Linked DNA regions of Styela clava. The protein of the gene in region 2 binds, or shares a complex with, the protein of the main gene of each other region. Links are inferred from orthologs where the notes say so. Each region holds a gene or a part of one and is shown on either strand. Other genes may lie near its edges. The genes, in order: uncharacterized protein LOC120346397, transcription initiation factor TFIID subunit 7-like, general transcription factor IIH subunit 3-like and transcription initiation factor IIB-like.

The links.
Region 1: transcription initiation factor TFIID subunit 7-like (region 2) and uncharacterized protein LOC120346397 share a complex: the UniProt entries of both Homo sapiens proteins name them as parts of the TFIID basal transcription factor complex. The link is inferred for Styela clava from reciprocal best matches to the Homo sapiens genes TAF7 and TAF3.
Region 3: transcription initiation factor TFIID subunit 7-like (region 2) and general transcription factor IIH subunit 3-like share a complex: the UniProt entries of both Homo sapiens proteins name them as parts of the TFIID-containing RNA polymerase II pre-initiation complex. The link is inferred for Styela clava from reciprocal best matches to the Homo sapiens genes TAF7 and GTF2H3.
Region 4: transcription initiation factor TFIID subunit 7-like (region 2) and transcription initiation factor IIB-like share a complex: the UniProt entries of both Homo sapiens proteins name them as parts of the TFIID-containing RNA polymerase II pre-initiation complex. The link is inferred for Styela clava from reciprocal best matches to the Homo sapiens genes TAF7 and GTF2B.

What each region holds. Positions count from the first base shown.
Region 1 is NC_135257.1:9,008,463-9,017,053, reverse strand, and holds the start of uncharacterized protein LOC120346397, read right to left. Parts: upstream 3,679-8,591; 5' UTR 3,676-3,678; coding exon 649-3,675; intron 1-648. Other genes in the region: serine/threonine-protein kinase Sgk3-like, read right to left, coding at 7,719-7,799, 8,047-8,133. UniProt on the Homo sapiens protein: The TFIID basal transcription factor complex plays a major role in the initiation of RNA polymerase II (Pol II)-dependent transcription.
Region 2 is NC_135259.1:4,890,768-4,897,906, reverse strand, and holds transcription initiation factor TFIID subunit 7-like, read left to right. Parts: upstream 1-5,035; coding exon 5,036-5,998; 3' UTR 5,999-6,334; downstream 6,335-7,139. Other genes in the region: PDZ domain-containing protein GIPC2-like, read left to right, coding at 6,403-6,543. UniProt on the Homo sapiens protein: The TFIID basal transcription factor complex plays a major role in the initiation of RNA polymerase II (Pol II)-dependent transcription.
Region 3 is NC_135253.1:5,671,046-5,679,598, forward strand, and holds the start of general transcription factor IIH subunit 3-like, read left to right. Parts: upstream 1-4,943; 5' UTR 4,944-4,945; coding exon 4,946-5,133; intron 5,134-5,292; coding exon 5,293-5,332; intron 5,333-5,800; coding exon 5,801-5,945; intron 5,946-6,734; coding exon 6,735-6,857; intron 6,858-7,337; coding exon 7,338-7,471; intron 7,472-8,171; coding exon 8,172-8,444; 3' UTR 8,445-8,553. Other genes in the region: uncharacterized protein LOC120325703, read left to right, coding at 2,833-4,452. UniProt on the Homo sapiens protein: Component of the general transcription and DNA repair factor IIH (TFIIH) core complex, which is involved in general and transcription-coupled nucleotide excision repair (NER) of damaged DNA and, when complexed to CAK, in RNA transcription by RNA polymerase II.
Region 4 is NC_135254.1:20,966,899-20,975,202, forward strand, and holds the start of transcription initiation factor IIB-like, read left to right. Parts: upstream 1-4,989; 5' UTR 4,990-5,255; coding exon 5,256-5,269; intron 5,270-6,456; coding exon 6,457-6,625; intron 6,626-7,026; exon of another isoform or gene 7,027-7,028; coding exon 7,029-7,128; intron 7,129-7,889; coding exon 7,890-8,005; intron 8,006-8,304. UniProt on the Homo sapiens protein: General transcription factor that plays a role in transcription initiation by RNA polymerase II (Pol II). Involved in the pre-initiation complex (PIC) formation and Pol II recruitment at promoter DNA.

The DNA.
Region 1 (8,591 bases), on a different chromosome or scaffold from region 2:
GTTACCACCCAATATTATTATCAATAAACATGAATAAAAAAGCGCTTCAGATATGGTTTAACATATTTCAGGTGTGTCAAAAAACAACATTAAATTTCCATGGAGTGAAAAAACAAAAAAATAGTTACATATACGCAATGGGCAATCACATACAAGCTAAATAAAATGCCAGACAAATTACACACTTGATCAGGTGTGGTATTGGCTGAATTTGACATGGATATGTATTTTTGAGTAAATGGAGCATCAATTGCGTGGAATCGGTTAAAAATCTCAGCTTATTATACACTCATAAGCTAGGGCATTCGATAAATGACAAGAAAATATTCTATATAATAGGAAGGTTATATATTTTTTTTTAAATTAAAGAAATGCGAATTTTTTGAAACCACTCAACTGCCGTATGAATAGAATTTTATGATTAAAGTGATTTTTTCTATGCGACTTTTCCACACTTATCACTCTGAACAAAACCAGTACAAGATTTATAAGGAAAATAATATACTAATATCAGGAAAGATTATCATGCTAAATCCTACACAGCAGTCTAAAATGATTCTATATTTGGAAGTAAAATCGTATTAACAGTTCCACTTGCAAGTTGCATCAAATGCTAAACAGCGGGAAAAGTACAGAAAAAATGCAAACCTTATTCCCATCTTCGTCTTCATATACACCGAGTGGAGCCGGAGCTGGGCCAGCACTTATCGTTTGAGTGATAACTTTTCTTTCAACAGCAGCTGCAAAACTCTCTGAAACAGTTTTTACACTTTCTACAGACACCTTTCGTTCTTTGGCAGGTATTGGGCTGTCGCCAATAGAAGAATGTGACCGTTTTTTGGTACTAGATTTGACACTAGAATTGCCACCTTGCTTAATAACAAATTTTTTCTCACTTGCTCCCATTTTTAATGTTAGTTTTGGTACCATTGGGGAAGGAGCATCAGAATCAAAAGAATCACGTCTTAACGATATAGCGACGTCTTTCTCAGGATCTTTAAATTTTTCTCTATGATGACTTCTTTCTTTGCTTTCCCTTCTTATTTCTTTATCATGTGACCATCCAATATCAATATCTTTGTCCTTATCTCTATCTTTCTTCTTCTTTTTCTCTTTCTTAGATTTCTTCTTTTCCTTTTCTTTGATTGTTGCTGTAACATTCATGACGGGAACTGCAGCAGAAAGTTTTGGCAATGGTAAATTTCGACTAATCACCGGAGATGGTGGTGAAGGTGACCTTGCGTGTTCTTTCACTTTGGGTTTGACTACTTTTGCATCTCCGCTCTTTGACTTCTTCAGAATTATTTTTTCCACTGACATATCGTGTTCACCAGAAGATTGTTTAACTTCCGATAATTTCGGTGTCGAATGCTTTTTATGTTCTTTTGTCTTATGATGCTTGCCTTCTTTAAATTTATGTTTCTCTTCTTTAAATGGTTTTGGTGTTTGTTTCATGTCAGCTTTAAACAAATCTTGATCGACGTCAAAAAGTTTAGGTTCAGGGTGTTTCAAATGTTTTAGTTTAACTTTCATTTTAACTGATTTTTCAGATATTGTTTCTGTGGTAACGAAAGATGCTGGTTTATGAATGTGTTTATCCTTTTTCGATTTTGAATGCGATTTGTGTGAGGATTTGCTGCTTCCATCATCTGTTCGTTTCATTTTCTTTTTGTGCTTCTCTTTTTTACTATGTTTTTCATGTTTGGATTTTGACTTCTCACTGACAGGTGAAATTTTTGGCGGTAATGGTATTGATTCACCTGAATCAGAATCAACGATAACATCTTCATCTTCATCATCTATGTCAAGAGATTGTGGAGTTTCTGCGGATGACGGAGTAGGAATGGGAGATGATCCTGGAGTAGGAGGATGTGCATCTCTTAGTCCTCTTTCTTCCAGTTGCAACATTTGTTCCACTTTATGAGAAACATCCGCATCAGAATCTGATGAACTAGAATCCTCTACAAGATGAGAGAATCTCATCAAATCTGCTTCCTCCGCATCTTTTTTAGCCTGCTCATCTTTCTTTACAGTTTCTTCTGAAGCTCTATTGATAACAGCATCAATTGCATCATCCATAGATTTATAAGATGCAAAGTTGGAGCGATCTTTATCTTCGAGACTTTTGCCAGGAAAAAGCTTCTCTTGTTTGATTACAGGAGAGGTTTCTCTTGAAGGAGGAAAATTTAAATTCTCAACAGGATGCTTGAGTAGTTTTTCAGCTCGTTCAATGCTAGATCGCACTGGAGACTTAGGAGGTGATTGCAGACCAGGCTCACGTTTTACTGATTTTGGAGTTTGAGGTTTGTAAGCAGGTACAGGAGGACCCTGGATAAGTCTTTCTGCCGCCTCAATCTTAGCTTTTATAGGCTCGTCCCCTAGGTCAGCTTTCTTGCTAGATGATGAATGTTTGAATGATTTATATGGTTTGTGATGAGATGATTTTCGGTCAATACCTTGTTTCGAAAAATGTTTGTGGCTTGAAGAACTGCTTGGAGTCGAAGTCAATCTTTGCTTTCCACTTTGAGGAGTCATGAGCTTTTTTGAGCTAGGTGTGCCCTTGTTACTAGGTGTAGAAGAATAATCTTTATCCTTACTTAGCCATGGTTTCTTTTCCACCGTGGAGCTTCCAAGTGATAAATCTGGTGTGTGTTGTTTAGATAAATGGACAGGAGATGCAGTTTCACCTTGCAACCAGTCAGCATCATACACATCAGCAGTTTTTTTCTTTCCAGACAGCCATTTTGGGTCTTCAGATTTTGTAGTTTTGGACGCCCAAGAATCCTTACGCACACTTGAGCTCGTGGATGGCACATGACGCTTTTCTGGAGTGGGTTTATCAGGGCTCAACCATGGCAAGTCTTGAAAAGGTTTAGTCGTTTTATGAGATGGTGTGTAATTATGTGGCTCATCGAAACTCTTTTTCCCTTTTACTACAGGTCGTTCATGTAATTCACTTGCCGTTTCAAAACTACTTCGTCTTGTTGGTGACATGCTACCACGCAGCTCATCCCATTCAGACATCATACTACTTGGTGCAGTACCTTCAATTGTTGGAATGTCTTCTGGTTTTGTCAAATGACGAGACTTCACTGGGTTATGTGATAGGGAATCATCGGACATGTATTCTTCATTCGATGCCTCACCTGCAGAATAATCATCTTCATCAGAGGAAGAGCCTTGTGCTTTGCCAGCAATGACAAATGTTGCTTTCTTACTTTTTTGGCTTTCAGGTAAATCATTTTCTTCAGTTTCAACAATTGGTTTTGGTGGTGCAACAATCATTGAAGGCATGTAAAGAGGAATATGTTCCGCTCTGTCAAAATCTTCAGGATTATTACCAGAAGGAAATTGTAAATTCGAATCCTTTGGTGCAGGGAACATTGGCACCTTATGTGGGAAAGCAACCGGCTCCATTTGTTGCATGTACTCGACTAAATCAGGGATAGCAACATGCATTCTTTTTAATGCAAATTCTACATCCAATAGGTTCGGTTTTGTCTGACAACATTGTTCACTAAAATCATGAACAGACTTTGATAAAACAAGTAAATATTGTTCCAACACATTGGTGAGAATGTCAAGAGAAGATGATTGAATTGAATCAAATCCAACAGCTTGACTAAGCTGAGCTATAACAACTCTCAGCACACTTCTGCTGTATTTCTCCGCCATGACAAAACCTTACTTAAATACGGACTTTATGAAATATACCTGGGTATAGAAATACAAGTAAAATATTTTAAATAGCAATAATCAATATTCAAATGTATACAATGAAAAATCATGATTTCAAAAATGAAAACAACACAAAAAAAAATTTTCAAAAATAATTCTCATACAGAAACATTTGAAAAAAATGACAAATAGGATGAAGTCAATCTTTTTGTTTCCAGAACGACAACAGTTATATTACACAAGGCACGAATTGCACAAATAAAATGGCTGGATTCAATGAATTTTATTTATTAACGAAAATGGCATAGTCATTATTGTATACAAAGTAAGATGATATGGAATGATCAATATGTCGATAATAATTCTGACACCACTCACAATAATAGTATTTGGGACAATTATCCTGATGACGGAAACATTACTGCAATAACATCAAAATTGATTGTGATGAATGCTGACAAAGAAACTTTTCATTGGAAGGTTTGTGAAAAATTTCAACCTGACCCATAATATAATATTAAAGACTTTGAAAAATAATAGCCAATTTTGATTTGAATCTTTGACACATTTTTACTTTAGATTGTTTCCAATCGATCACCTAACATTCCAGTACAATGCATACTTGATTGCATAATCGATTTTTTAAAGAGACACTGATAAAAAGTTTCCACAATTTTCTATATATTTCTGGAGGTTGCAAAAACTGATGAGCATTGAACTTATAACTAAATCCTATGCTCAAAGTTACAAAAAAACAGACAATGGAGGATATTTTAAAACGTTTCTCTTTGTCAATTTTTGAACAAATGGTATTTTCCATCAACTCAGGGAGATACAAACAAAAAGTTTAAAAATTCACTTCTGAAAGATTTCAACAATATTGCACAATATATTAAGAATGATCATTTTATAACAATATTAACTAGTTTACCATTAAGTATGCAAGATGGTATATTACGAAATGCAATATTCGTCCACATTCAAGGCAAATTTACCATTATATCACAACAACAAAAATCATGTTTATGGTAAAACAGACATAACTGGACATGAATAAAATTATTCCAATCAAGAAATATTTGGAGTATAAAAAGTAATATAGCCAGAGGATGAACACATTATAAATACCTATATTACTTCATATAATCAGGTTTTGCATATAAAATGAGCATTAGAATTTATCAATGATGATCAACTGGTGTTCAAGAAATGCAAAACTGCATGTTTAACAGTAAATGGCAATAAACAAGCATTTCCTATTAGTAAATAATGGCAATATTCATTGGTAAATTACAATTGACATTACAAAATTACTTGTTTTCAATGTCAATGTTCAACTTTTTTCTATTACCATTGTGTTAAGTATTGTTGGTCTTCATTAAGAGTGTCACTGCACGATAATCAGTATTATTTTTTTCAATTCCAATTTTACATTCTGTATATGCAGCATGCATTTCCATTATGGGGGAAAATAAACTACTGATTCTATTACTTATAACATTGTACACCTTTTTATAAGGTGTGTTTGCTCTGAAAAGTGATCTTGACAGGCATTTATTCATACCTATAGAGCTATTATGTTGAATAACAGCATAAGCTTTAAAACAGTAAGCTGAACATAATGTAAAGAAACATTACAAGCACATTATAGTTGCAAGAATACAACAAAATAATCACATCTCATGTCAATAGTATATGCACTCTAATATATGAAAATATCAGCTTTTCAAATCAAAACACAGTGATACCTCGGCCGTCGAACATAATTCGTTCAGGACTGGTGTTTGACTACCGTGACAGACTACATACACATCCTACTACGTTTTGGCCTTCGCATCCATATATTTGGGCATCTCTCTTGAATGGTCAAGACGCGGACGAGATGCGCGGATTGGGAGACGTCATCTGATCATCTCACTCGGCCACATGCTCAGGTGTTCGAGCACCGAATTTACGTTCGAGTACCTCAGCATTTTTGACTAGAATTTTTTAGCCTACTACCAAATTATTAAGAGTATCGAGTTGTTCGACTACCGAGGTATCACTGTACATTCATCTTATATATAAAAACAGTTAACATTGAGAATCAAAAGACAAACAGTCATAAACATTTGAATTCAAAAGCACTGCCAGAAATGTTGGCTCAATTAAAGAAAAAATCAGAGATAGGCAGAAAATCAGTTAAATCAAGCAATTGCCTATACATTTTAATGCTATTTACATAAAATGTTATGTAAAATAGGCTTGTTTTTTAAAAAATTTATAGTTCTGCCATCAAGCCAAAACTATAGCCAAAATTTTCTGGGTTCATGTGATAAATTGTTACACAGATTACTTTACCCCATATAATTAATGTCATATTTCAGCCTAGCAGATTATGTATACAAATCTGTTGCTCCACTGAAAACGCAGAAAATATTATGAAATAGCAACACTGATAAAATATATATATATTTTAACGTTATTTTTTGATAAAGGCCGTTTAAATGGAAGAACGCACTGGTTTGAACACAATTTTGGTTTGAACAAATCTGTTGGCAATACAATTCAGTGAAATTTCAATCTTTGTGAAAATGTTATGGAAATATGCATACAAGTATGTTAAGATAACATTGCATAGGACTTGTTATGGAAAGTCTAATAGAAAACTGCATGAATTTTAATATTTCATATTAAAGTGTATAAGAACGGGCATAATTCAATTTCAAAATTAGTTAACTTCATGATGGGTAGCAAAAACTATTGATCAAAATGATATCAACATTTTATGCAATAATATAAGGTGAGCGAGATTTTAAAAAAGTAAGAATCTGATTTCAAAATGATGAAAAACAACCAATTCAGGCTTTGGAAGAAAAAATAAAAGCTCTCAATTTGCATGAAAAAAGGCAACAGAATGAGTGTTGAATGAGCGAGTATAGACCTTAAACCATGTCACATCCATGAAATACAGTTATCATTTTTCTTTTTACTAAGAGGTAGTAGGCAATGTTCAATTTACAATCACATATCTGGAATTCAAGAAGGGAGAACAAAAATTTACTTCAAATGAACATACTTAATTTGTTATTTAATAAAGTTCAAATTGTTTGAGAGATTTCAATACTGTTACAGTATACCGTATATGCTCGTTTTACCGCCCGATCTTGATTAAGGGCCTGTTTGAATAGCCGCCCGTGTGAACAAAACATAAAAATAAATAAGGGCCCGTGCTTGAATACCCGCCAGATGTAAAAGCTGACTTTTTCAGTGGTAGAGAACAATAGGAAATAAGAAGCGCTTTTGTCACAACGCTGTTGAATTTTGAGCGCCGGTAGATAACACTCACGCCTCAGGCGTCCAAGTCAAAACAGATAGCATTGATTATGTAACACCATGGTTTTCAAACTGGGCGTCCCGATGCCCAAGAGCATCGTTTCAATATTGATGGGGCGTCGCAAATCTTTTCTTCTTTTGCGGATTTGTACCTGCGGTGCGTAGAAAATGTCAAAATTTTCGTTATTCTCGTTTAAACCATACTTGAGAACTGGAAATAACAATATATTATTTATTGTAACGATCGAAAATAACAAGCGTCCGTGCTTGAATAAGGGATGGTTTGCATTAAGGCCCGGTTAGTGAGTTGGTTGAAAAAAATATGGGCCCGGGCTACAAAACGAGCAAATACGGTAATCATAATTTGTCTTACCAATGTCTGATAACTCAAATTTCGCGAAAAAAAAATGGCATAAACCATGATCAAATGGTTAAATTTAGCATATTTCACATTAGTTAAATTTAAATCTAGTGGATATTTTGAAGACATCAAACCGATAAGAATTCTCTTCAACCTGCTTCATGTTTTGTTTTCCCGATACGAAGTCTGTGGCCAGAATGCCCCATACTCACTCCACAGTTCATAGTTTGACAAAAAATCATGAAGCAAATTGTTTAATTCAAACTATGCTGTTATTTTTTCCACCCAATGTGTCATAGAAGCCTTCAGATCCTGCATTGTTTCACTAGCATTGTCCAAGCTCAAGATTGCCATAAATGCCAGGTTATGAGTTTGAAAGGATAGAAGGTGGTGCATATGAGAATCCAACAAAGGCATCATCAACTTCTTGAACACTTGCATTTACCTATAATTTAATGTAAACATTGCATGTTATTTTAATATAATATGGAGAAAGGATATACATACAGATATTGGAATAAATCAATCACATTGTTGTGTGAGACACAGCCACAGGCCAGAAAATGTACTAACAATCAGTTACAAGATAGACTTAATTAACAGCAAATATTGATATATCAGTCTTTTGTAGCCACAAAGTGGCAAGCTGATCCATTGAATGAAAAAAATTGCATCAATACACACAAACTTACAGTATGGTCGTCATTTTCCCCAAGAGATTCTGGAACAGGTTCTTGAACAAATTCTGGATCAACATGCTTTAAGTCTTCAGGCCCAGCCTTGTATGAAAAATATATCATAAAATTTAAACTGAGAATATCTTAAAACCGCAAAACAAATCTATCAGATAAAACAAAGTACAAAAGATGTTCCAGCTCGCCAATATAATTGAAGACAAAATTTGTTCATGAAAATTCATATTGGTAAATTCCTTATTCTACTAGCTCAGTGGTTCCCATACTTTTTAAAAATAATTCCATGACAGAACCTTTGCAATTTTTTTCAATTATTCCTGGCCTTGAGCACTAGAACAAAACATTAAAAGATCACAACAAAAAATCAATGCTCCGTTAATGAACATTAAAATGAACAAAAGTCTATGACGATGTTCAATGCACTTTAAAGCGAACTGGCATAACTTCATAAACTGCCTAGTGCCTACTGTAACTCCCTCCTATACCAACAAACATACAAAAAGGCAGCGTCAGCTACATCTCTGCAGTTATTTGACTTGTAT
Region 2 (7,139 bases):
GTATTTGTTTGGATTTTTAATATATTATTCATATATATTAGGGAGAATGGGATTCACCATAATTTAAAAAAATAAAACAGAGAAGAAAATTTTTTTATTCAAAATATAATACTAATTCGATTCTAAAATCTCAATACGAAAATTCCGTTTGGCATTAGAATTTATTTGGCACAAAAAAAGGTAGCGGCCCATATCAATAACATGGCATGCGACAGATTCTACTTTGGCAAAACAATATATGATATTTCCAACAGAGTGTACCCCCAGCTAGAAAACTCTGCAATAAGTACTTTAAGAAGAAACTGCTTGATAAATAAGTGCGAAAATGAATTACGGCAAATATGGGAAGCACTTCCAATAGAATGGAGAGAGATTTTATCAAGGAATAGGGAATTTGGTCAAACAAGAATATTAATTGATAGGTACAATGGGTCGAAAGACTTGACCACTAATCAAATTTATAGGATTTTACAAAGTAAGAAAAATGATACATTTTTGAAAAACCATGAGGAATACATATTTAATAAATTTCACCTAACTAAGGCAATTAATTGGAATAAAATATGGAAAATAAATATTGGAAACAAGTATAAAGAGTTATGTTGGAAGTTAATTCATAATGGGTTGCCCACTGGAGACAAAATAAAACAATGGTTCATTGATGAACCAGGAATGTGTGTCTTATGTGAAAATAATGTTGAAGAAACTGTGTGTCATTTATTTTTAGAATGTGACTGGTCTAGTGATTTTTGGCAATGGTGTTGCATAGATATTAATCAAAATACTATTATAGCAAACGATTCGGAATGCAAATCAAAATTAATCACAATATTATGCGGAAAATCAACAATTTGGCAATATCGAAATTCAGTAAAATATGATGAAAGAGATAAAATGAAAAGTAGTATGCGTTCAATTTTCAAGTGTAAACTGGTAGGGATTTTAAATTTACTAAAAGCAAGCGAAAGAAATGAATTATTGTTATATGAGCACATGGATGATCTTTTACATAGGTCAATCATGATGTAAGTTTATATGCAACACCATACTCTGAAAATTATTGAAAGTATGTTATCTGTACATCATTTTCATAAGAGGAAGATGTATCGACTATGAAACATAGATGGCGAATGGGAAAAACCCAATATGAAAGCGTGGATTTTTCCATATTCTCTGTCTAATTTTTGTATTCTTGTATTTTTCATGCTAAAAAATTAAAATAAAAACTGATTACCTGTAAATTAAAATTATATTCAACTAACTGCTGAGTGGATTACATGTGGATTAACTCAACTTTTTTGGACATATATTGGATTATATTAAATTAATGACATCATGGTAATGGTATGAATTTTGTCTTTATTTTGATTTTTACTATTCATATGTATTGGGGGGAATGGGATTAAATTAAAAAATGATAAACAAAAACATGGAAACAAAAAAAAATATCTATTTATATATTTATAATAAAATGATTTGATACCAAAATATTAATACGAAAATTCCGTTTGGCATTGGAATTTATTTGGCACAAAAAAAAAAAAAAAAAGATTCTACTAGACAGTTTGTAAATGGTATGAGAGTATACTCCACATAACTGTGTAAGTTTATATGGTGCAAGATCCACTGAAAATCCAATAGTTATTAGATATAAGTTTATTTCAACTCCATAATCAGCAATAGACGATAAGATAATTGATGAAAACAAAATAAATGAAACTGAATATAGAATCGGGAAAGCAAACGAAACCTCAAGTAAGGTTTTACATATTTTAGGTGGGAAGGTATTAATAAAAGAAGTACCGAAGTAGTACGTTAAAGAAGTAGTTAACGTTTCTATAAACTTGAACACTGGTGGAGAGGAATAGGAGTTTCCTAGTTCTGTAGTTGTTACAGTACCGGTACCGTATTGATACTAGCTTAAACAACAATATTGTTTTGGTTCAGTCAGGTATGGAATATCAGAATATTGCAGAAGTGGCATACCATGTGCTTGTAACCTGCTACAATCATGGTATAATGCTCCTGCTGTTAGGTTTTGCATTTGATTTTAAAAGTTTTTCAATAGTTTTAATATTGGCTGATTTGGTGGAATTTTGTTTTTTTTCTACCCATGAAACTCTTATCTGAATTTTTCAATTAAAACTTTAAAAATTTTCTTTCTGCCATTATTTGAAATGTATTTAATTGTAGTAACTGAACATAGGAAACATTTTTTTACTCTAAAACTGTACGGCCGATTCGTTCCAAATGTTTCGCCTCTCGGACTTTCTTCGATCATTTTTTGGCACATGCAGACATGACAATTTGAGTTAATATTCGGGCTTTCATTCACCTTTGAAGATGTTAGAAAATAATAATCCACTTTGTGGAGCCATTGAAAAAGAAAAATATAATAGCCTAATATCAGAATATAGTGTCTTGGGAATTGTTTAAAAACATTATTATCGGTATATAAATACATACAGATTTTTAGGTTCATTAACATATATTTATCATTGTTTCGTTAAAACAACTTATCATTACATTTCATATAATTCAGTAATTTGTGTTTACTTGTTCACAGGACATGATCTTTCAGAATGCAAGTCTTCAAAATAATTTTTTTTATAATAATATCAACAAGTCTAAAATCTATATGCTTGGCTGAGGAGGGAAGTATTGTTCTTTCTGATGGAGTGTTTATATACAAGAGAGAAATTGTGAAAGAAGCATTGGCTTATGGACAATATAATGATGAGATTGCAGAAAAAGGATGGGGCATCCTCGACATCACTGCAACGACGCATAACATGAAATACTCTCCTGATCAAATTATGTATGCCGCTGGAATGTTAGAAGGAGCTCTTACATCAAAGCGTATATATCAAAATTATGAGAATTTGAAAGGTTTTTTGTTTGATAACAGACCTGCTGATATATACAATCGTTCTTGTGATTTTTTTGCCAAGCAAGAAAAATGGTTAAAGGAGAATGTGATTTCTGGGAAAGGTGATATTAGATGGGAAGCCGTTGGGTACATGCAAAGTCAATTGGAGGGACTTCTGGCTGGATATACTCTGACAGCCAATAATAGTATGAGCATGTGCCAAATGCATTTGTTGAACGGAGCAGGAGACATGTTAGATTTATTTAACGTCTTCCATAGACCATCGCTAAATCATTTTAAAAGAATGTCAAAAAAACAACTTCGCCAATATAACCAGAAACATGGTCATTGTTCTGTTCTTATTAAAGTTACTCCAGGATTTGAAAACATGTATATGGGACATAGCACCTGGTTTGTTTACAGCGCAATGCTTCGTATTTATAAGAACTATGATTTTCAAGTTTTCGGTAAGGAACATAAAAATTCAAAAATGTCATTTTCTAGCTATCCTGGTTTTCTCCAGTCATGGGATGATTTCTATATATTGGGAAGTGAAATGGTTATATTACAAACTACAAACAATATATACAATACTAGCTTGTATGATCTTGTAACTCCTAAATCCCTTTTAGCTTGGCATCGTGTTCGTGCAGCAAATCTTCTAGCTAGCAATGGGTATGATTGGGGCGAAATCATCAAATTTCACAATTCTGGCACTTACAATAATCAATACATGGTGGTTGACTTGAAAAAATTCACGCCTGAAATTGGTTTCGAAGATGGTGCGTTGTATGTTGTGGAACAAATACCAGGATTTGTTGAATCTCATGACCAAACAAATATCTTAAGGGAGGGATACTGGGCCTCCTATAACGTACCCTTTTATGAATCTATCTACAATATGAGTGGGTATCCGGCTGTTACCAAAAACGATCCTGATTTGTCACATGACTTAGCTCCGAGAGCAAAAATATTTCGACGTGATCAAGGCACTGTTGTTGATATGGAAAGTATGAAAAAAATTCTCCGTTACAACAACTATAAATTTGATAAATATTCAGAAGGTGATGCTTGCAATGCTATATGTTGTCGCAATGATTCAAATTATATGGGGTGCACTGATTCAAAAGCAACCGATTACTTTTTGGCCAAGTCCTTTACTACTCATGCAATAAATGGGCCGACGGTTGGTGGATTGAGTGATATTCCGCCATATAAATGGCCACAAAATTCTTCCTATCATGAAGGAATGCCTAATGTATGGAATTTTACTTTCATTGATATTAAGCCTAAATATTTTGGGTAATCGATAGTAATAAATTATGATAATACTATGCAATGTTTTTAAATTTGCATTTTAAATCTTTTTATTATATGTTATATAAAATACAGTTCATTTATTATTCAGTGATGAGTTCTATTTGTAATTTTTTATTATTCCTGTCATGATTTTTGAGATAATATTTGGTATTTGAATATCAATATTTTGCAGGAATTCATCTTTTATTTTATACTATAAAATCGAGACAGTTAAGAAATATTGTACAAGTATAATATAATGACAAATTCTCGAATACCTTCAGTCATTTGGTTTTGAGTTTTCAATTTTTTGTGTGTTGTACTCAGTCAAGTTTGACTATTGGAAGATTCTTTCCTACAATTCAGAAGATGATATGTTGCTAAAAGTGTTATAGAATTGTGTTTCCGTTTTACGAATATTGTGTTTTATTGTTCATTAGGTACTCCTGAAGTATGGGCACCAAGATGTCGCACAACCTGAACCCTAACCTGGTACACAACCTGAGTTCAGGGTGTGCGCCATCTTGGTGCGCATACTTCAGGAGGTCTGTTTATTATAATCAAGTAGATTTATATAAGTTGAGGATATATTATATATACAGGGCTGCCTCCTAAAAAACAGAACCTATATTCTGGAGAAAACATAATTTTTGTGCAAAGTTTCTTAGATTACTGAAACTTTCGTTTTCCATCATACACAAAAAGAAGTTCAAGGGTTAAATTAATTTTCTTCATTTTTTTCTGAAATTTTATTGCCAAGCAATATATATACACTATTATGCAATGCTCGACATCATATTACTAGATGCATGTTGATATAATATTTCTTATTGTTATTTCTGGCAGACACTTAGGTATATTATAGCCATGGATAAACCGAGCAATGCTCCATTTGAATTGGAAAATTACTTTTTAATGAGGTTACCTCCGGATGCTGCCACCAAACTCAATGAAGTTATGCTTGCTGGAAATTTGAAAGACAGACTAACATTGAATATGCATGATGATTTACGACATGGTGCAGTGAAATTTGATGGGGAATGTTATTCAGGAAAAGTTTGGGACTTACCTTGCGTCATTGAATGTCAAAAAACTGTAGATATGAAGACTTTTTATAAAACTAATAATCTTAGCCATATGCTTGTTTGTACTCCCGATACAGATTTAAGTGAACATAATTCTAATGTTCAGCAAAATTTAAAATCGAATCATTTGAGAGAGCGGAAATTTCTATGGCCACATGGAATTACTCCACCACTAAAAAATGTTCGGAAACGTCGTTTTCGTAAAACGGCAAAAAAGAAGTATATTGACTCTCCTGATATAGAGAAAGAAGTGAAACGACTTCTAAAAGCTGATATTGAAGCTGTGAATGTGAGATATGAAATAATGACAGAAGAGGAAAAATTGGACGATAAATCGAAAAATTCAGATTCTAATGATGCTAGTCAATCTTTGGAAAATGATGAACTTCATAAATTTTTTCCTGAAGTTAGTTCGGAGAGTGAAAAAGAGGACGATGATGACGTAAACGTGGAAGACGTTGATAAAGACGACAGTTTAGATTTTATCGAAATTCCATCTGGCGTTCCTGTCGTGACCAATGAAGGAGAGAGAGCACGATTGAAGGAGAGATTATCTAAATTAATGACGGAAGTGTCCGAACTCAAAAAACGTAAGGAAAGGAAAGAACAACTAATCAGAGGCCAAATCACAAATGAAATGTTAAAAGTCAAATTTCAAGGTGAATTAGAGGTCGTTCGTTCCAGAATTCAAGATGATATGAAGGATATTGCTATGACAAAAGCCAAGTTGGGCCTAGAACGCTAATTATTAATTAAGGGATGCAACAATTTCACTCTTCTCTTCTTGACATGCTCTCCTCAACATCAGGAAAATATACACGTAAATAATTGGGATACAGTGATGTATGTGGTGCAAATAAAAGGTTTTGCTTATCTTCCCATATTATAGCACTCATTGCTTTTTTATCTTGGACAACATTTTTACCAATCCTTTGTCAAACTTACGTAGAAATGTCATTTCAATCAATGTAAATCCCTTCTTTACAAAATGTGATTTTCAATAAAATTTTAAGAATTCAAAAATTGTTTTTTTGCTTACTAAAAGTCATTTCACTTACTATTATCTGCTTTTTTTTATAGACTGCAAGATCTAATTATTATAGTATGAATCCCGTTTATTTCTATATTTGATAAACATAATCATTCAACATGTTTTCTGGATTATTTGGGAAAAAGAAGAAAAAAAATTTGCCTAATAATGGTCGGACTGAAAATGCTTATGAACAAACTAACAGTAACCACACCGAACAACCTCCAGAACCTAAACAAAAGCTTGTATTCCATACTCAGGTAATATTTGACATTGTTGGTTTTGTGCTATTCAATCCCAAACCATACTTATGGTCTGAAAGTGATTATTACGAAGCCTGTGCTGAAAAAGGCATTTGATACTGACGGTATGAGCTTTTCTGTCTGAATAAAATTACCATTTATTCAGTAATCTGACATACTGTTATTAATTTTGTTAGATATTTACCAAATAGTTGGGTTTTAGAAATAATTTACGATAGATTTATTAAAGAAGTTATCATTTTAAGCCAGGGTTTCTAAACTTTTTGTGCAGCGGTCCCCTGTTTGTCTGACTCTACGGCAAGTCTCGACTTGTAGGTCGTTGCAAAAAACAATAAAATACTACGTAATTGCCTTTTCTGACAGCGAGAGATATTCCTTCCCAACGCTCAACCAAAAAGATGTAATGACTTTTTTGTTGAAATTAATTATTAAAGATCGATCAGACTCTTTTCATATCGTTGCGGACCCCCTGTGCAGTCATCACTGTGTTTTATTTAGCCATTGTAGTTTTACAATACGACAAAAAAATTATATAACCAATCCCTTTTCTTTTCATCGTAACTTTCCTTCATTTCCAAATTGACGCTTATTGA
Region 3 (8,553 bases), on a different chromosome or scaffold from region 2:
AAAATTTTTGATACTCTGTCTTTTATTGGTGATAATTCCGATTTTCTTCTTTTTTTAAAGTGCCTAAATATGTGCCTAGCATATGTGGTGACCGAGCGCGTGTGACTCCTTTTAATACTACGTTTTAAATATTGTTATTCGGTTCACCCATTGCAATTTGCGTGCTATACATTTAATTTGACAATTTTTAACTAATTAATTATCTTTTTAAAAGCTATTACGTCCATTTCACCTTTTTTTTCGATGTGCCTAGATAAGTGCCTACCGGTAACAATTTATTATTTCTATATTCCAGTACTAGACTCAAGTGCATCTGTTGGATATTTACCCAGGCTAATCAGTGTGGGTGATATTTTTATTTCCCTGTCTTTTAATAGTGATAATTGCCAGTTTCTTTATTTTTCGAAGTGCCTAAATATGTGCCTAGCATATGTGGTGACAGAGCGCGTGCGTCTCCCTTTAGTACTACGTTTTAAAAATCATTACAGTATTGGGTTTAACTGTTGCAATTTTCGCGTTCAACATTTAATTTAAATATTTTGAACTAATTCATTATCTTTCTAGGAGTTACTACGTCCATTTCACCTTTTTTTCGATGTGCCTAAATAAGTGCCTAAAAAAGTGCCTACCGGTAACAATTTATTATTTCTAAACTCCAGTACTGGACTCAAGTGCATCTCTTAGATATTTACTCAGGCTAATCAGTGTGGGTAATATTTTTATTTCTCTTTCTTTTATTAGTGAATATGCCATTTTATTTATTTTTCGAAGTGCCTAGCTTATGTGGTGACCAAGCGCGTGCGACTGCCTTTAATACTGCGTTTTAAATATTGCTATTGAGTTTGCCCGTTGCAATTTGCGTTTTCAACATTTAATTTGACCATATTTAACTAATTAATTATGTTATTACAAGGTATTACGCCCTTTTTACTTTTTTCCAAAGTGCCTAAATGAGTGCCTAAAAAAGTGCCTAATTTGCAAGTGCCTACTTTTAGTCCGTCCCGTACACATGTATGTTTCCGTTTGGATAGCACGTACAATAAAACAATTTTTTACTTTTATTCTACATAATATTATATTACTAAATATACTAAAATTCGATGAATTGTATGACGACCTAATCAACACCTTACAGCCTTAAACACCGGTCTTACTACTTACTGAATACAGCGCGAAACACCGCAAAGAGCGCAAAACAGCGCGAAACAGCGCAAAACAGAGGGAAACAGCGCAAAACAGTGTGGAAACAGCGCGAAAGACCGCAAAACAGAGGGAAACAGCGCGAAAGAGCGCAAAACAGAGGGAAACAGTGTAAAGCAGAAAAAAATTTTGCAATGAGTTCGGGGCACCTTGTTTTGAGTTGGAGTACCACGGCAGCAAATTAAAAACACAAACCAACGTATGTAGCTAGTAATGCTGTAATGGCAGGTCTGCCCCTGCTGGTGACACATTTTGGGTACCATAATTCAGAACATTTTCCATATGGATATGGTTGGCTTTAGGGTTAGGGTTAGGTGAAAAGCGACCTCCAGAAGTATGTGCACCAAGATGGCGCACAACCTAAAAATAGTATGTGTGTGTGTGTGTGTGTGTAGCGGATTCAGGTTGTGCGACATATTGCTGCACATACTTCTGGAGTACCAAAAAGGTAGATAAAATTTCGCATGATGACCTATAATCCGGTACATAACCTTGTAAATATGCCGGAAATAGCGCCATAAAACCATGGCGAGAGGCGCCGTGGTTCTTTCGTGGCAGGAGGTGGTAATGACCAAAGCGTATATATAATACTGGAGGTGGTAATGACTGCGTCTCCTGTTTTGCGCTGTTTCCCTCTGTTTTGCGCTGGTTTCCTTCTGTTTCGCGCTGTTTTCCTCTCTTTTGCGCTGTTTCGCGCTATTTTGCGCTGTTTTGCGCTCTTTGCGGTGTTTCACGCTGTATTCAGTAAGTAGTAAGACCCGTTTTATGGCGCTATTTCCGGCATATTTACAAGGTTATGTACCGGATTATAGGTCATCATGCGAAATTTTATCTACCTTTTTGGTACTCCAGAAGTATGTGCAGCAATATGTCGCACAACCTGAATCCGCTACACACACACACACACACACATACTATTTTTAGGTTGTGCGCCATCTTGGTGCACATACTTCTGGAGGTCGCTTTTCACCTAACCCTAACCCTAAAGCCAACCATATCCATATGGAAAATGTTCTGAATTATGGTACCCAAAATGTGTCACCAGCAGGGGCAGACCTGCCATTACAGCATTACTGGCTACATACGTTGGTTTGTGTTTTTAATTTGCTGCCGTGGTACTCCAACTCAAAACAAGGTGCCCCGAACTCATTGCAAAATTTTTTTCTGCTTTACACTGTTTCCCTCTGTTTTGCGCTCTTTCGCGCTGTTTCCCTCTGTTTTGCGCTGTTTTGCGCTGTTTCGCGCTGTTTTGCGCTCTTTGCGGTGTTTCGCGCTGTATTCAGTAAGTAGTAAGACCGAAAATTTGGTTATGTTTGAGAATAAAGCACCTACCATCACTCTTCATGAAAAGCAGATGAAACAGTGAAATCCGCACAAACTACCGGCAAATATCGGTATAGAAATTTGAGAAATAATTCAATCTTTTGAAAAATGATTGCAATGCGCTAGAATAAATTAAAAATCTATAGGCCAATGTATGGGTGGGAATGTAGAAAACAGTGCTGTCGCAATTGCTATCTTTTATTTCTTTATTGTTTTTAAAAAAACAGAAAGAAACATAGGACTACAGCGATTATTGAGACCAGTAAAAGCTTTCAAACAGACTTTAGAATTCAGAACTTCAAACACAAAATGGCCACATGCAAGACCCAAGCTGCTCCGATTCTCGATGAAAGTGATGATGATTCATTTGAGGAGCTTGATGTGGACAACACAGATGATCAAGTGACTTGTATCTTTACAGGTGAACCCTTTTCATCACCATTAGCATATTACACTGCACTGAAGAACAACCATGGATTTGATATCTGGCAGATCGCTCTTTGTGACTTATCGTTAGACTTTTTCGGTTATGTAAAAGTAATCAACTTTTTGAGAAAAAAATATTTTAAAAAATCCCCACCTTCGAGTGAGGAGTTGAGTGCTCAAAAATCTGAGTGGGTTATTGACGATTACCTCAAACCAGTTATAGAAAATGATCCTCTATTGCGATTTATGCTCGACGATGGATCGGATTTTGACAGTGAAGATGAAACTGATTTTACGTCAAATCTAAATGCGACAATTTCAAATAATCCTGATGGCGATAACAAAATGTCTGAAATTCAAATTCTTCATGAAAAGCTTAAAAAAAGTGAAAAAGAAAGGGAAAACTTATCTATTAAATTGACAGCAGCATCGAATCAAATTTCGCAAATGAAATCTTTCATGCAAGATATTATACTCACAGGAGACGTGGGTATATATCGTCCTGTTGCTGCGTGTCGTCAAGATACTTCTGTTTATGAAGAAGAAGAATATGAAGATGCAGGTTATTTTGGAACATACTCACATCATGATATTCATGCCGAAATGCTTCAAGATACTGTCAGAACAAATTCATATAAAGATGTCATATTTAACAACAAAGAGCGTTTTGTGGATAAAATTGTATTAGATGTTGGCTGCGGAACTGGAATATTATCTATGTTTGCTGCAAAAGCAGGTGCAAAACACGTTTACGGCATTGATATGTCTGAAATCGCGTTTCAGGCAATGGATATTGTCAAAGAAAATAATCTTGATGACAGAATAACGATACTCAAAGGTCGTGTAGAAGAAGTCGATCTTCCTGTTTCGAATGTGGATATTATTATTTCCGAGTGGATGGGTTATTTTTTGTTATATGAATCTATGCTTGATTCTGTGCTTTATGCTAGGGATAAATGGCTTGTTCCGACTGGTGAACTTTTTCCTAACCATTGTTCAATATCTCTCATAGCCATTCACGATGATAAACTTGTGTCTAGCAATGTCACTTTTTGGAAAGACGTATATGGTTTCAAAATGTCTTGTCTTCGAAAACAAGTTTTATCTGAAGCAACAATTCAAGCGTTAAATCCTTCTTCTGTCATGTCCGAACCATGCGTGGTCCATAGAATTAATGTTGGAAATGTTCAATCGAAAAATCTTAATTATAAATCTGATTTTTCTTTGAAAATAATAAAATCTGGATCATTTTCTGCTATTGCTGGCTATTTTGACATCTTCCAAAATCATTCGGATAAAAGCGACCTAATGTTTTCAACGTCACCTTGTTGTACCCCCACTCACTGGAAACAAGCTGTCTTCTTTCTAGATGAAAGTATGAATGTGTCTGAGGGAGATATTATTCATGGAAAAATAGATTGTCATAAAAATGTCAAAGATCCCCGATCTCTTGTTATATCGTTGACTGTCAATGATAAGACACAATTATATAAGATTGAATAATGATTACATACGATGGTTTGATAATGTTATGATACAATTAGAGAATGAAGTCTTTTATGTTGAGTGCGAATGAATTTTAGTAAAAAAAAGGTATGTTGAAAATTTTCACCATACTCATAGATCAGTTTTGACACAATACACATTTTTAACTTCTCAGACCTACATGTTTTTGTGGTACCGGTACCATGTTTGCTTTCAATGGCACAAAAGTTTCATTTCGGTGCGGTCATAGAGTGTATTCTGTATCGCATCGTGGTTTTATATTTTGAGATTCTCCAATTACCTCCAATGATTAGTTGTGAATATTTAATTTGTTGAATGTTTTTTTGTATATGATTTAATTTTAAAATTTAGTTCAAATTCGTAATAGGCCAATGGTTTTAACTACTGCCACAATACACCAACTCAAACAATGACTTTATTGAGCTATTTCAATTAATTTTATTCAATCTGCCTAATGTTTTCAGTTGCATAAACTCAAAATATATTGCATATGGCTGAAGATAGTCAGCTTCTTGTTATAATATTTGATGTGAATCCAGTATGGTGGGGCTTGAAAGCATTACAAGGGAGAGCACAGATAGCAAGATGCTTGGATTGTTTGCTACTTTTTGTGAATTCTTATATGATGTTGCATCATGAAAATAAACTGGCAGTCTTGGCCAGTCACACATCTCAAACGTTAGTGCTTATTCTTTATATCTAATTGTATATTTTAGGAAAAAAAATAGAACATTTTTGATATACAGGTAAACATTAATGGAACATTAAATTGGGTATCAAGTGGATTTGTATATTTGTTTTTTTTTTATTTTCATTCATACAATCTTTTTATTTCAGAAAATATTTATATCCCAAACGAGAGGAATCATCTCAAAAAGTAAGGATATTTATATAAAACCTAAGTGATTCAAGAGTCTTGCTGCACTTATCTCTACTCTTGCTACAGCATCCTTGCAATATATGCATACGGATCCACGGCATAAAAGCATAGAAGAAGGATAAGTAGTTAGTCTCGCAGAAACCAAATAATCAGCGCTATTTATATAAAGTTAACAAATATTTTCTACCACCTATATACCATAAAACTTATTATTATATCAAGCCGCACAAGAATTGGCTATAACCTTGTGCGTTAACTCAGTATAAATGTATAATTAGTAAATGTACACAGACATAACCAAAGTAAGCAACACCAACTGGAATGTCTCCCCCGAGTACAGAGAGCGCATGGCTAATTCCATAATAAAATATTTGTTATTCAAAGCCAAGATAGACTAATGCTGTATTCTATTTGCGTACACCTATATTTTTCTAATAATTTGATCTATTCAAAAATATTGTTTAGAAAGATGGCGAAGATCACCAAAAATTTACGGCCATAAATGACACAATCATTGAAGAGTTCAAATCACTGATGACTACAAAATTAAATGAAAGTAATATTCGAAGTGATTCCTTAATCGCAGGATCTATGACTGTTGCACTCTGCTGTAAGTTTCATACCTAAAATTTCAGATTATTTGAGAGTAACAGTTTTGAGTGTTCAATTCAGTTCTAAATGTTGCAAATATCGATATCAACCTACTTATGTTATGCTTTATGTATGTCTCATGAAACGCTGTAAGCCCTCATTTAAACACAAGTTCATTACTAATAGGAATTGCAAGCAACCATTCATTCAATACCAGCTACATGTCAACTGATGTCAACACTCTATTTCATGCATAAACCTGTAGTTTGGCATAGATTTTCAGGTCAATGCTGGCAGAGAAATAAATTGGTTCGAAGGTTTTGATATGTACGGTAACTCTGTGAAGGGCTGAAATTGAGAAAAAACTGTTATTTGTTTCGCTATTAGTGTGATATACAGTGATCACGACTTTTCTTTGGAGCCATCATTAACTGCAAAAAGGGCAAGAACAAGCACTAAATCACAAAATTTATTCAACATGTGTCATCCCACTAATGTACCGACTCGAACTGATGCTTGTTAAATGGTCAAGATGCATGGTTCTGGAGGCGTCATTTCGGCCCGGGTGTTTAATAAGCTCTGAATTTCCGTTTGAGTACCGCAGCGTTTTTGACTCGGATTTTATGTTCGAGTGTCGAGTCGTTTGACTAGCGAGTTATCACTATATTATCTGATTATATGAATATTAATAAGGTTGACTGACTTTATAGTTTTTTTTCTACCAAAGGAAACGTAACCAGGTAGCATTCTTCACACATATACAGGTTTTCCACTTTTTAACCAACTTTCAATTCTTTTTGTTAACCAGATATCAACAAATTACACAGGGAGTCACGAATGGGAGAGAAAACAAGATCTCGTATACTTGTCATCAAAGCTGCAGATGATGCCGCTGCTCAATATATGAGTTTTATGAATGTAATATTCGCAGGTATTTATGGCTTTTGATATACAGTTGCAGCCACAGGTATAATAACAGACCACAATCTGAATCCCAACTGAAATGTTGTTCACCTTGTTAATTTGTGTGTTAAGGGATATGCAGATTGGCTTTACATAGCATAGCTTTCCTCAAAGTTGCACTAATGAAAAAGCTACGCTCATTGGGAAACAGAAAGTTTTTGAAACAATATTAATCAATATTAATTACAAAATAAACAATGACATATTTTAGGAAATAGAATCAATATCTTCTATGATTTTGTTTAAAAAAAGTCAAAGGGGATTTTCAGAAAAAATATGGTAACACATTGTGATTCTTTAGGTTTATCACAAATTCATACCATACTGAGAAATTAGTTTTTGCCATTATTAGCTGTTTGCAGAATGCTTCAATGCATTCATTAGCCAATACTCGGTGAAACATAGTCTACATATTGAGACTTTAACTGGTATGTTTTTATTATTTCAGCACAAAAGCATCAAATTGTGATCGATTCCTGTGTGTTGGGGCAGGATTCTGGTTTATTACAACAAGCATGTGACATGACAGGGGGGATATATATGAAGATTCCTAATCAAGAGTCACTTTTACAGTATTTATTGGTAATTTAAATTCAATTATTTTTTTTATTATTACTCTATTACTAGTGACAAGTACATATTGTTTAAACTGTGCCATTAGTTGTTTTGTTGTTGGGTCTGGACAGTCGATTTCAGTGTAATCTGCGTTGATGCTTTAAAAGTGTTGCGGTGACTGCAAAAAATTAAATACAAGAGGGAATGCAGGAGACTGTGTTATGGGATTTAAATTTGTGTATTTACTGCCACCTCGACCCACACAGAAATATATTTGGAACATTTGAGAGTGCGATGCTCAAATATATGAATACAAAGGCCAAAGTGAAGCAGTAGTCAACCTTACTTTATACAGTACCTTAACTAGTCTACTTTATGGTTTGGTCAAAATATTTCCGACTTTCGAGTAGCTCGATAAAGGTCTCAGAACCGCTACAAATAATTTTTATTAATTTTGAAGAGCTCATCACATGAAATTTCGAAGTGAAAAACCAATCACGAAGAGCCCACATAAAGTTTGGAAATAAATAAATATAATCTTTAGTCACTGAAAATTTCAAAGCTAGTGGTCCATTAGTTAATGAAACGAAAAAAGAGATTTTTTCATAACAAGAAGAAAAATACCAACAACAACAACATATTAAACATAATAACAAAACGATTCATTTATGTACACTTCGTGTCCAAAAACTGATTCTTTGATAACTTAATATTGCATTTGTTTCAGACTGCTTTTCTTGTCAATCCCGATCTTAGAAAACAAAGTTTAACTCTGACTTCATCAACAGAAAAAAGAAGTGGTGTTGACTACAGAGCTGCTTGTTTTTGTCATCGTAGTCTCGTCGATGTCGGTTTTGTCTGTTCTGTATGTTTGTCAATATTTTGTCAGTTTAGTCCTATCTGCTCTACATGTGAAACTGCTTTTAAACCACCTCCTTCGCTTGGACTGAAAAGTAAAAGGAAGAAACGGGCTGCTCACAATGGCCGCTCTACAACATGATGCCCAAAGAGATACACAGTGTCATAAGAAAACAAAACTTATGAATTTCTAAATTATATCTACGAAAAAAAAGAAATTTATTTAACACTTAACTTCTGTTTGTGTATGA
Region 4 (8,304 bases), on a different chromosome or scaffold from region 2:
TTTGTTCCTATGAAAATAGTTTCTCGAATTAGCGCCTATAAACTGGTTTATATGTTTCAAACCATCATTTTGATTCAAAACATTCAACAACTGGCATTTGAAATTAGATTGGATTCACATACCAAAATAAATGATTGATTGATTGATTGATTACATCAATGACATTAAACAACATGATAGGCAACTCTGACGTCACTCCATAAGACTACATGCGAAAGATTGTATTTCATGATACGCTCCAATGCACATATTTCTCGTCGCCTTTCACGACCGTTTTCCGCTCGCTTTTGCTACTCGGCGTCTACTTTACGTGTAGTGCCTGCCTTTTTGCGCCTGTAACGAAAGAAAATAATCTCTATATCTAAGAAGTTTTGCTCACTTGGGAAGCTGGAATGGCAGACAAGCTGTAAAGAGTAATTCTGGACATCATAGACGTTTTTTTTATCAGAGAAGATTACAAACGCGATAGCGTAAAGATTTGTGTGGAACATTTTGCAGATAATGACAAAGTTAGTAATTTTAATGTTTGCGCTTAAAACATTGAAATTTCATTTAAAGAGAGTGTCATGCAAAACTGTTTTTACTTCTCTTAACGGTGCTGTGATACAATTCCATAACACAAAGTTTGCACCTATCGAACATGCTTCAGTAGGTTAATTTATTAGACATATATATTACATATTTAGTTAACCGTAGGTAACATTGCTGGTACATAATGCCTCGTAGATAGGTTTGTGTCTAAATTTAGGAATTTAGTTCATAGCCCACTAATTAATATTATCTTACCGATCATCTGACGATGCTCATTTAGTTTGGCTCGAGCAAGTTTTCATGAAAGACTTGTATGAATGGAAACTGCCTATATGTTTTGCTTTCCTCCGATTTTAGAAGACAAATTTATTCTGAGGGATTTGGCATATAATTCTCATTGATTGTTGGCTGTTTATGATTCCTATTAATTGTGAATTCTGATTATAACAAAGAGTTAAAAATCATTTTACGTAATTTACGGGCACCTTTTTCTTGTCAATACTCCAAGCTGAGGTAATAAACAAGACAATACTGTACATTTATGTCATCTGGAAGCAAAATATGCACACTAATTAAAAGTTTGACACATTGAGATAATACATCATGACAGAAAATACAAGTTAAAGATATGTATGACCATCACATGGTAATTAAAATTAAAAAAAAATTAATAGGGGCTGTGGAGTATATAAAGTTCAAGACAAAGAAAAGAACATAAGTTCATAGCTCATGAACTCTCAATTTTGCCTCCATTGCTTTGTGAAGGCCAATATATTCCGAGTGGCTGAATTGGTTTACCTTTATGATAGCAACGATTTTGTATTCAATATAGCGAGATTTTTTTCAATTTAATTGCAGTGATATTATTTCCCAAAGCAATGCTTGAATCGTCTAGAATAGATCAGTGGTGTCAAACTCAAGGGTTTTTGAGAGCCGCATTGCATTTTGGAAATTGTAAAAAGGGCCAAAAACACTTTTTGATAATGTATACTTGAAAGATATTTTTCAGATAGTTTTAGTTTGTGACATATATTGTGATGCAACTAAACAGTTGGATTAAGTTTTATTATTTTCTTTAATTTCAAATGCAATTACATATTAATATTTGCATTCCACTATTATTGCAAGTTACTGTATTTATTACAAAAAATCATAAAATTCTATATACAACCATCAAAATCATTTTTGAACAAGCTTTAGATAAGGAAAGAATAATACATACACTAAAAATGACTTAATCTAAATACATGGACTTGAAATTAACAAAAATACTACAGTATAAACTCAATGTTTTTTTAATTACATTTGTCCTGACGTTTGGCATCTTTTTTGTGTCACCAGCATACTAAGGCAAGGCTGAAATGATTTTATAGTACCAACTCTAACTAACGAGGACACGTGATCATGGGTTTTTCTAGATCTTTGCGAATGTTTAATTAATTCCAGTAATGCAAAAAAGTTTCTTTTATCATTTCATGAATAGATCAGTAAAAAAACAAATGACAGATACGACACGACATTTCGCGCCACATTGCATAGGATTGCTTGAATTAATATTGATATTAATTTTTAGTCACTAATTCGTTGTATATTTATATTAATATACAAACACATGGTAATTTTCTGTTCGAAGTTGGTCTTCGAAATTGTCATATTGACTGCCGAGCTTATTGTGTTTTTTTATTGTACTGATGAAAATATGACAAATTGAACAATGTGCTTCAAAATTTTGTGAAATGCAGAAATATTGCAACTTCCATTTTCTTCGAAAATGCCACCTTCTTCATGTACTTTGCGTTCAATTTATTCACTCAAGTGTTTTATTCAAGTATTCTTTTGCTAGCTTGATGTGTATTCTTAATTGGGTCAAAATGTGAACAAAAAAATTAACTTTCCAAAACTACTTTCAGTAAATTGCTTTCTGTGTGAATATTCAATTTCACTTTAAAAGGGTTGAAAAATCTATTACACTTAGATAAAAAAAACTCCAAAATACAATTACAATTATTGTTAAGCGTTCGAGGGCCGCACTGGAAGTTCTCCGGGGCCGCGAGTTTGATATCCCTGGTCTAGATTGAAGTTGTCCTAAATATAAAACAGTATTTTATCATGAATCATGATTATACCATTTCCTGAATTTCTTCTTTAGTAGGCCTACTACCAAAAGTTGATGAATCAAATATAACACAGGTGTAGTGAGTGACCCATAATCCTCATTTTCCAAAGCTGTTTTAAGTATGTCTGGCATGTTTTGTGCATTTTTACGAATAAGACCGCTTATGCAATCTTACGCTTTGGAATTTTTAGTTATTTTCCTTAAGCCCTGCAGGATGTAGGGGCCATACACAACTCTACCGGAGGGTCAAATGTCTTTGCATGTCTCCATAGGTTGTTCTTCTATTGCAAACATTTATGGAGTATTCTGATTGTATTTCTTGGAATCACACTGTCACTGATATGTCGACAGACTTCTGATATCTCCCCTTCTGCTACAGTTGTCATGTGAATAAATAATAGAAAATTGAGGTTGGACGAATAGTTGAAAGTTTTGCTTTATGTCGGCTTAATTTCTTGATTGATATACTTTCTATTTTTGCTATTGCCTCTTGTGCTGCAGGAGTCCCACAATGCTTAGACAGGTTTTCCCACAACTTTTACATCTAAAGAAAGAGAGGAGATTTAATAATTTTCGTTAAGAATAAATAAAGCAGTCTATATGATTTAGATTGGAAAAGCTAATAAATCCAATATCTCATGTTTTATGTAAAAAATGTTTTACTGAATTTGGTATATAAACCAACTAATAAAGGGGTTTACAGAAAATTACTATACAATATAGACCGGTATGAGTGAAATGTTAGGTGAACTTGTTAACCCTTTGATTCAATACGCAAATAAAAGTGAATGAGCAATAGTATGTTACAGCAATGAGTATATATCCTCACTGATTAAAAATAATCTAATTGGAGGTGCATGAACTATTTGAAACCGTAAGGGGTAAGTAAATATGCAATTCCGGCAAATGGGCAACTACGTACCGTACTGATTTAATAACTTCGTAGTATTTGGCAAAAGTCGGCTTTCCCACATGTACTTAACAGTGCAATGCCCGGGTGTGATATACAACAATAGTATTTACCTTACTTTTTTCCGATTTCTTTTTACCTTCAATTTTCCAATATATCATTAAAATCGACAACAACTGTCAAAGCAGGAACGAACACCATTAGTGCTATGCCTTGAAAGCAGCACACATCCGCTCGTTTTCGTCTCGTCAAGTATGTGCATTGGAGCGTGCTATCGGATACGATCTTCGGCCAAAAATGCCTGGGTTGCGCATCATGTTGTTTAATGTCATTGATTACATTATCAGGGGAGCGGAAGCCGATAATAAAGTTAAATCATATGGCAAACCACGACCTCTCGTCCGGTTATCATTTCATGCCGGATTGACATGCAAGAATGTTAATATTTCGACGTTTTGGCTTCAGACGGTTACGTAACGGCGACTTTACAACGCCAGTCGTGCTAAAAATACGCTCTGAATTAACTGACGTAGGTGGGCATGAAAGCAAGCTTACGGCCAAAGCGAACATCGCTTGGCATTCGTTTCTGTTTTGTGAGCATGTGGCCAAAAAACAAGTTCAATCAATCAATCAATCAATCAATCAATCAATCAATCAATTTTATTTGGTCACTCTGATACAAACAAAAAGCAAAACAACAACAAAGGGCAAACAAAATACAGAGGACTTGGAGGACGGGCATAACTCAATAATAAAGTTAAATACGTACAAGTACGTGCCCGTCCCCCCAAAACACAATAAACCAAAAACACGATGTGACCTCGGGCAATATCTTATAAATTCAAATTAAAATGTGAGACGTGTATGTGCTTTTCCTACAGATATATGGATTAAAGAACACTCGCTGCCGAAAAATGATGATGCAGTAGGCCTAGTTCAATTACGTTGCAAAAGTGACACAGTGACAAATTTTTATTTTATTTTTTTACTGAAAAACAAGCTCGGTAAATGGACTGAATGTTCCATAGCAGTCTACGCACAAATCATGGATTGGGGTGTTGGGTTCTTTTGTCGTTTTCGGTTAGTTCAGTTTAAAATCATCGTATCCGTTCCAATGCAAGTTAGGATAGGATAGGATTTTACATATTTATCCAGGGGGAGAGGAAAGCCGATAAGACGGCTTATCCATATGGCGAACCACGGCCTCTCGTCCGGTTACCATTCCAAGTCGGGTATGGGATTAGTTATATTGTTTTTCGGAAGCATGGACTTGGCAAGAACGCAGTACGGCGTACGCTACTGATCGCGTATTGTTGCATCACAATCGAAAACGTGTTTTTTGCCGTTTTCACTTTGACGTCACAGACTCGGACGATTCGATTCGAGTCCATGATCTATTACTTTACTCGGATTCGCCGAATACCGGACTCGTCCTAACAGGTTTGTGAGGTCAAAGGTCGAAAAACATTGCATCAACCCTCAACCGACGATTGAAAAATTCAGCCTATCTGTGAATTAGCTTATCAGTAAATCAGGCCTATGGCGCGTGTCTGAACATCTCATTGGTCTGAAAACTCCCGAGGTAGCAATTCTGCCTTCATTCGAAGCTCTGTTCTGCTGTTACAGTGTTGAAACTAGTCTTGTATTTGAGACCGACAGACAGGGTTTTCAACTGTAGACAAAGAATCTGATCTGACAATGTCAGGTTCTAGGTGAGTAGAGAGAGAGATTTATTTCGTCAACCAGAAAAACTACAGTCATAATAAGCTATAAATTAAAAACATATAAATTAATGTATATTTACTGATAAACATGGGAAACTTTATCTGAAATCAACAATGGAATAATATGAATTGCTGGATAATACTGAATGATGTTTACGAATATATTTGTTTATTATATGTAACTATGTTCTATGATTATTATTTTTTCATCATTTATTTATTTTTACAAAACTGTTATGAATCCACAACGTGGACCTTAAAAAAAAACATAATAATAAATAAATAATGGCTATAAAAAATACACTTTTTTCGGAAGGAGCGATACGACCATGCGGTCATCGAAGTCAGCCCCCTCTAAGTTTACGATGATAAGTTCACAGTAAAATATGACTATTAGAAATGGTTAAAGTTCACGAAACAAAATTTGGAAAAACAAACAAACAAAAAAATGAAGTAGGCCTAAATAAAAGTAAATAATTTTTTTCTGTGAAATCAATTTTTAAATGATGAGATTTGTGAAATGAAACAGTTTGGGCAAATAATCAACGATTACACTATTATTTGAAAGTGAGGAGTAAGCCCCACAAATAAAAAAACAATTTTGGCTATTGGACTACTATACTCAAATGTAAATTTGGACACATAACAATTGTTCGAATCAGCAAAGAGTCAGCCTTACATGTACGAATAAATTTCAGGAGATAAACAACATGGTACTCATGTAAAAACAATTGTTTAAAGCGAGGAATCAGCCTTATTGGAAATATGAGATCTATCATCAGTCTGTTAGTATTGCGGTACTGCAGTTCAAATTGTATTTTTATGTTTTTATCATCTTTTTAATAAATTAAAGAATTTAGAAAACCTGCAGACCTGTGTTAGCAGCATTGTGAATTGGGGTAGGCCAAAACCCTTGATCATTTCACAATTACAGATTAAAAACAGTGTTTTGATTTGTTCTCAAAAATATAATAAAGGAATTTTGATCAATTTCTGAGATTTCAATTGCTTGAAATGATAATTTATGCAATGTAACTATCACTGTACTGAATTATGTGGAACACACAATAAGAAACTATTGCCATGTCTTCATGTTGTCATAATTTTTTGGCTTCTGCTGTAATAAATATGTTCAATATCAAGAGTCATTTCAACACTGTTTTCAAATATTTCAGCAAAAATCATCATCGTCAAGTCTGTTGCCCTCAGCATCCAGATGCTCCTTTGATTGAAGATTACAGGGCAGGGGATATGGTGTGTCCTGAATGTGGCTTAGTAGTTGGTGACAGAGTGGTGGATGTAGGGTCGGAGTGGCGTACTTTCAGCAATGATAAAGACTCTAAGGTACTCTGAGTTCATGTATTTTATACTTGTATTCTCTTATGTCTGTATGTATAAAATGGCTGATCATATGAAAAATTTTTGTTGTGAAAAATCACCAATTTTTTCTATAAATAGATGTTGAATGCGAAATGATTCGATAGCTATTTTCAGATGTCATGACAGTGTTTTCATCAACGAAATATGGAAAACACTTGAAATACAAAGTTACTATTTTTTGAAGCTGGGAAATTGTTTTTGTTTTGAATTATACGATTCCTTGCTTTATCTCTCAATCAAAGTTCAGCGGCTTACCAATGGCACCCGGCAGATAAAAATGAAACGTAACAGAATGCTAAACTTGCTTAATTAGTTTTCAACCAATCTATTTGATCATATTCTATATGATTGTATAATTTGATTACAGGATATGTCTCGTGTTGGAGATGCAGAAAACTCACTACTTTCTGGAAGTGACTTGTCAACAATAATTGAGCGACCTTCTGGTCCTGGTGGAGATGATTCAGGTTATTCAGTGTGATTAAATTTCATTCACCCCTGTGGGGTATAGGAATATCAATCGTTCTTATGTACAACCTATATGAGAGGTCAGGAACCCATGGCTCGGGGGCCATATATGGCTCTTTTGGTAACGACATATGGCTCCCAGAAAAATCTAAGGCTAAGCTTACTATTGTTACAAGATTTCAAACACTTTTATAGCCAAATTTGCCAATATGTTTGAGAACGCCCAGCACATGTCTATGTTATATAGGAGAATTACCAGACAGACATTGTGACAAAACTAGGGGATTCCGGAACATCTTTCGTGACATCACAAAGCGATAGAATCGCGGAGCAATAGAATAAAGCTTAGTCTGTTTTTACGTACTAGTCACAGTATTTGTCATATTTAAATTAGATTAACAAAGCTAGTTTTTGAAATACTACGGAGATTCCTAAACGAAAGAAGGGTGATGAGTGTTATAGATTTCAACTTGTGCTGCATGTCAGCAATCCTGCAACGACAACAGGTAGCATCAGAAGTCACATTAAATGTATATTGACATTGTATGTTGACTTTTGAGCAAAAATTTCAGGCCTGATTAAGGAAGAAATGCTCTATGGCTCGCACAGAAATGCAGTTAAAATATGTACCTTTCATGGCACTCTTGACCAAAAAGGTTCTCGACCCCTGACCAATATATTAATTTTTGAATGAAGTGTTTGATTTTAATTATTTCACTTGATTCAGTAAGGTTCAAATACATGTACAACCATTTTTCAGGTTTTGCCAAGTTTTCCAACCGAAAATCAATGAATAGTGCAGACAGAGTATTAATCGGTGCTTTTAGAGAAATAGCAACAATGGCTGACAGAATAAATCTTCCTAAAAACATTGTGGTAAGAAAATTGATAAAAGTTTGTTTATGGCTTAGGTTGTCTGATTGTTGACTACTTAACAACCAAAGAAAGTTTCGAAACTGTGATCCATCAAAAGTCCTTGGCTTCATTAGTTTACTCATCCTTCTGGCTCTTGTGCAAATAGGAAACTTTGCCATTGGCAAACCTTAGGTTCAAATCATTTTTATAATAAAAATTTTGGCTCTCATGATGGCTGTCACTCCTATTTCTGAGGAGTACGATAGATCCATTTTTGATATTATTAAAAAGCACTCTAAGACGATAACCTCACAGCATTA